2 linked regions of the Sus scrofa genome follow. The protein of the gene in region 2 purifies or fractionates together with the protein of the main gene of each other region. This does not show direct contact. Links are inferred from orthologs where the notes say so. Each region holds a gene or a part of one and is shown on either strand. Other genes may lie near its edges.

Region 1 (3,629 bases), on a different chromosome or scaffold from region 2:
AAAAATAAAGACTGCGAGGTTTGGTAACAGACATAACTTACCATATCCTTTTGCTGCCACTTTCTAACTGTGTGGCTTTGAACAAGGTCTGTACTCTCTAGAGCTATTTCTTTGTAGAATGGGAATAATAAATCCTTCTTTGCATGGTTATAGGGAAGATTAAATGACAATGTATGTAAAGCACCAGAACATAATAGGTGCTCAAGAAATAGACTATTCCACTTGCACATTTTACTGTCTGTGTCCTTTATCTACACATACACATATCTTGATCTTGAAAAGCCCTTTACTTAATTCTGATATCTTTAAATTCTTACTTTTGTTTTTTTATTTCTTCACTCCTGAATTAAATCAATACACATTTTGTTGTACCCATGTGTCTTTATCTTTCATACCACTAACCTGAGTCTGAGCCTTTTTCTCCTCACATCTGCTCACTTTCCTTTTTGTAAGTCAGTGCTCTCTGCCTGATTCCCTCCTTGCTCTCGATACATCCACACTATAGGCCCATGTAAGACTTACTCTAAATCCTACTGTTTCCCTAGGGCTTCTCAGGCAGTTCTTTCCATACTAAGAGTATTCATTATCTCTAACATTTAATTGGTGGGTGGTTAATTTTAAATATGCACTATAGCATCACTTACTGCTTTTCAACATACATCATTACTTTTAACTTCTCATGGATCCATTCCACATTTCTCATAAAAACGGGTAAGCTCCTTAGGTAAAGAAGTCCCTTGTATCTCTTTGTATCCATTGCTGTACAGAATATAGGGAGGTATTTAAATATTTATTACTTTAAAAAAAATTTTTTTAAGTTTTTCAGACATTTAACCCAATTTTCCTTGCTCTCTCTGACTATAAATTAGGCATCTTTGGAAGCAATAGTAATTCTTTTACATGCTTTAAGGACCTACCTTAAAGTTTGCTTTTCCAAAAAGCAGTAGGTCCTACTTAGGGAATTCGAAAGGTAGGAGTGGAGAATCCACATGTTATTTTGGGTATTTTTAAAAGCTTAACAAAAGTTATAGTTGACCCTAGAGAGGTAGTTCAGTTTGTGTGCTATTGACTAGAATTTATGAACTCAATGACATGGATAAACACATGTCATTCAGTAGTTCTGTTTAGTTCTTGCTAACCTCTTAGGAATTTCTGGGCTCTATAGAGGAAAGAAATAAATACAAGAGTGTTTAGTTAATAGAAGATTTGAAGCCATGGCCCTAAAGAGTAAGGAAACTATTTTTAATCTTTTGTTCTATTGGACTAAAAACTAAAATATGACTATTTGGATATAAAGTATAATTCACTTAAATTTGACCTTAACCTCTATATGATGTGGTTGAATTATTGTTTTACTTACCAGATTATTGTGCTTTTTTTTCATAGATACTATGCCTTAGAAGTCTCATATTTTAAGTCCTCTTTGGATCGAAAATTGCTTGAGCTTTTGTGGAATAAATACTGGGTGAATACGCTGAGTTCCTCTAGCTTGCTTACTGTAAGTACTGTGCTTTCAAGGGATGTGACTAAATTTTATCTAATCTATATAAGCTGTTTAACATCTGAAACTCTTTCATGGAAAGGCTATATCTGACTTGGCCAAAACAGTAAGGCTGGGATCAGATTCTTCATGACCAGAGGTAGATTAGGATACTAGGCCAAGTCACAATCTGTGTCATGTACCATTGAGACCAAGTCTAAATGACAAATATAGTGGGCCAGGTGAGGGTGAAATCTGCCTCTGCCTTAAACACCTAACAGAGAAGAATACAGATGCTGTTTTGTCTCAGGTTGGACTCTGGTAACAAGTGACAGGAGACCCAACCAAAGCTGTCTTACACAAAAAAGAATCATGTAAACTCCAAAGTCCAGGAGTTGGGCTTACTTCAGGCATAGCCTAAGTCTGCATTCAGACAATATTATGAGGTCTTGGTCTTCCTCTCTTAGCTTTGATTTCAGGTCAGTTGGCTTCAGTTTCAGACTTCATGTGAAAGCAAGATGGCAGCATTAGCTTAGACCTCTCAGCCTCGCAGTTTCATATTCAGAAGATCAAGATACACATACACACATTCATACATACATACATACAGATGCACATTCCCAGGCAAAGCCTCATTATGTCTGAGTTTTGAGGTTACATACCCATCCTTAAAGCTGCTCTAGGCCAAGGTAATGATCACCTTGAGTGGCTAGACCAGGGCACATGCTTTACTGCTGGGCTGGGGTAGAAGAAAGTCTTTCAGGAGCCACGTGGGCTAAGAATGTCCCCAGAAGGAAATCAGAATATCACTACATAAAAGCAGCAGATGTTGAACAACAACAAGAAAGTCAATAAATATTTTCCAATATATCATTAAAATCTAACATTTACAAGAATATTTAACAAACTTCTATCTAGAGCTTAATAAGAAACAGTTCTGTTTTGGTTTTTTTTAAAACTTCATAGAGTACAGTATAGCATAGTGATTAGAACCACAAAACCTGGAATAAGATCAACTCAGTTCAAAAACAACTCTGCTGCTTTACAAACTGTATATGACCTTCAGAATATTATTTAATGTGACTGAGCCTTTCTTATTATCAATGATAAGAGTACCCACATTGTTAAGTGCACTGAGAATCATATGAAATACTTTATGTGTAAAGCAGTTCGCAAAGTGCCAGGCATTATAATAAAGCCACAGTAAAATTTTTTTGTTGTTTATTGTATTCATGGGAAGAGACCTCACTTGAGCATATTTACTGCGATTTTAAATACAGTTCTAACACGCTTTCCATTCTTTCTTCTTATCCTCAATGGTCAGAAGTAGCAAACTGGAAGGAAGGAGAGTGACCATAATAGCAAATATTTATTCAGTGCTTTCTATGCACCATGCACTGCTAAATGCCTTATGTGTGTGGTGTTTCCTTAGAGACAGGTATACTGATAGCAGCCAGAGGTGACAGATGATGGCAAAAGGAGGAACTGTAAGGCAGGAGTGATCTGAACTTTTGTATAAAAGCAGACAGCTCTACTTACTCAGCCTATGGCTGTCCCTATATTCCAGCACTGCATATATGAGGACATTAATAATTAAGAAAAGGTTATATTGGTGACTTTTTTGTGGTTTTATATATAGTATATTGCAGCACTTTAAGAAAAAAATACATTTTTTTTCAATTCATGTTTCCCCAGCTAATGCATGTAATCTAAAAGTTACCATAAAAAAATCATTTTATGATTTATTTCTCTGTGTATTTTGAAATGTAATTGATTCTTTCTTTATTTTAATAGTATAACTATTTCTGCTACCCTACATTTTTTAATAGCTTGCACTAAATCTTCCAGATGTGAGGTAGTCTACAAACCCTAGGATTTTCTCCAAATCTGTGGAGTAGAATGTATTCATGACCTAAATCATTTAGATCCAGAGAAAGTGAATATAATCACACCTTTAAAAAATATCATAAGTTTGTAAAATCATTGGAAAGCTGGTAACATTTTATAGGGCTCCTTGTAATAACTAAGATGACAGCAAATAACTCTTAAAAAATATCTTCTGGTTGAACTATATTTCCTGTACATGGTCTTACAGACTGAGCAAATAGAATAACAAAAAGATATTCCAATAAAATCTTTTTTAAAATAT
Region 2 (2,297 bases):
GAGTTCAGCTTCCAGTCTGGGTAGCGTTGCCCAGCTGATGAGCCCCTCACAAAATGGGACCCTCTGGAGAGGACGGCCCTGGTCATGCATGATTGTTTTTCAGAAGACATGGTCCCCGAAACCCCAGATTTGGCACAAAGAGCTGCCACTAGAGCGGTGGGCAGGGCGGTAGGTGACCTGGCCCCAGAGCTGTAAAGAAGCCGGCAGGAGGCAGCTCAGCTTCCTCCCTGCCCACAAGAGCACTTTTTGTTTTCTGACAGTTGCTAGAGTCAAGGGGCCAGAGGAAAGGCCCTCGGCTGGGCCGCACCCTCCAGGCCCCTCCTGCCCTGGGCTTTAGCTACGACCCCAGGCCTGCTTCCTGCAGCTCTCAGGTGGCCTGGTCTTAGAGCAACCCTGCTTCTGCAAATGCCCGGCGCTCCCCTCAAATCAAAGATTATAAACTTGTCCCAAGTCCAAACCCTGCCCCTGGTTCCATGGGTTGAGACGTGGGGCGCCACCAGGGGGAGGTGGGGGCAGTCTCCCTGGAAGATGGAAGCCTCTCCTGCTGGAGCGCCTGCGGCCACGGGGCCCCCAGCCTCCTCTGCCCAGGGGGGCCGATGCCTCGCCTCCAACCTGCACCTCCTGACAGGACCGAAGGTGCACCCCCACGACCGCCACGGTACGTAAGTCCACAGCAGGCTGACGGGGCCACCCAGAGCCTGTTCCCTGCGGTCCGAGCCGTCAGATGTCATCTTCGACGGCACCGCTGTGCTCGCTGAGGAGGTACCACTTGAGCCTGTCAGGCAGAGGTAGCGCCTTGACCTTGGTGTCCACAGGCCACGGCTGAAGGTAGAGCCGGATGTAGACGCGGCACAGGTGCTTGAGCGGCGGCGGGTAGCTCTCCAGCTGCCTCAGGGAGAAGTGAAGGGCCTGGATCTTTCCTGCCAGGCTGCCCACGGGGTGGATGTCGAAGTTTTCGGGCAGCTGGAGTTTGTGCGAGTTGGTCACCATGAGGTCCAGGACGGTCTCCGCCTTGCGCAGCAGGTCCACGTGGCTCTCGTCCTCGGCGCAGCCTGGGTGGGAGCAGAGCCGCTCGAAGATGATGTGGAAGCCGGACCAGCAGGACGCGCCGTGCAGGGAGCAGTTATAGGCGGCGCCGGACTCCAGCAGGAAGCGCAGGAGAGGGAAGTGCAGTTTGAAGCTCTTGAGGCAGATGTGGGTGAGGGACTCGTGCGCGGGGCACTCGCTGGGGTCGGCGCCGTGAGCCAGCAGCAGCCGCGTCACTTGGAAGCAGAAGCGGTTGATGAGCTGGGCCTCCTCCTTGTCCCCGCCCACCGTCTCCCCCAGCAGGAAGATGATGCAGGTGAACACCGTGTCCCCGTCTTTGGTGGTGGCCTTGACGTCGGCCCCTGGAAGAAGAGGGGGGAGAAGGCCTTAGACCCGTGTTCGGGGCGGCAGGGGGAAGCCGCGGAGGCGGCGCCGCCGCGTGCAAGGGCGGCCTCACCTCCTTCCAGCAGGAGCCGGATGTTCTCGGTGTTGTGGATCTGCACCCCGTCGCTGCTGGCCAGAGCGTGGAGCAGGGCCGTCTTCCCTGGGGACGGACAGCGAGTGAGGAGGAGCGGGGAGCCAGGAGGCCGAGGTCAGGGCGGCCCCGGAGGTGCGGGGAGACAGACGCTCAGGATCCGAAAACAAACTTTAAAGACAGCTGACATCTCAGCTACGGTGGAGGGTGACGGGTTTCCGGCCGGACTCCTCACTCACACAAAAACAGCAACAGGGGGCCGGGAGATGAGGAATTTTTGGATCCTGAGATGCCACCTGAGACCTGGCTGGGTCTCTCCCAACAGAAGGCCTGTCCCTCAGAAGCTGAGCACACACCCCCGCTCCCTCCCACACGGCCCTCGTGGGGCTGGCCGTGCCCTGCCTCTGGAGCCCCCGCCAGTCAGCAAGGGCACCAGCATGCGCCCGGCCTGCCCTCCCATGGCCCCCTGGCCCAGGCGCATCCCGCTTTTCCACGGGGGCACCTACCGTGCTTGTCGGCCGCGTTGACGTCTGCGCCGAGGTCCAGGAGGCGCTGCAGGCAGGGCAAGCGCTCGGGCTCCTCGCTGGCCAGGTCCAAGGGGCTGCTCTCATGGATCTGAGCCAGGAAAGCACAGCCAGGTTGGCCTGTGGGCTGCTCAGGACCCTACCGCCTCCCCCTTCGGAGCAGGCTGGGCCTGGCTCTTACCCGGTCCCTCCGGTTAATGTCGGCCCCGTGGCGCACCAGCAGCTCCACCATGTCAGGCTGGTTTCGCAGGACGGCGATGTGCAGAGCCGTG

What was found. Proteins that work in one complex are often made in the same cells at the same time.
Region 1: the proteins of ASB6 (region 2) and COPS5 purify together in Homo sapiens (affinity purification with mass spectrometry; 3 studies listed by BioGRID and IntAct, with this or other methods). This does not show direct contact. The link is inferred for Sus scrofa from reciprocal best matches to the Homo sapiens genes ASB6 and COPS5.

What each region holds. Positions count from the first base shown.
Region 1 is NC_010446.5:67,750,413-67,754,041, forward strand, and holds part of COPS5 (COP9 signalosome complex subunit 5), read left to right. Parts: intron 1-1,386; coding exon 1,387-1,498; intron 1,499-3,629. UniProt on the Homo sapiens protein: Probable protease subunit of the COP9 signalosome complex (CSN), a complex involved in various cellular and developmental processes.
Region 2 is NC_010443.5:269,829,120-269,831,416, forward strand, and holds the end of ASB6 (ankyrin repeat and SOCS box protein 6), read right to left. Parts: coding exon 2,207-2,297; intron 2,117-2,206; coding exon 2,008-2,116; intron 1,571-2,007; coding exon 1,484-1,570; intron 1,389-1,483; coding exon 721-1,388; 3' UTR 620-720; downstream 1-619. UniProt on the Homo sapiens protein: Probable substrate-recognition component of a SCF-like ECS (Elongin-Cullin-SOCS-box protein) E3 ubiquitin-protein ligase complex which mediates the ubiquitination and subsequent proteasomal degradation of target proteins.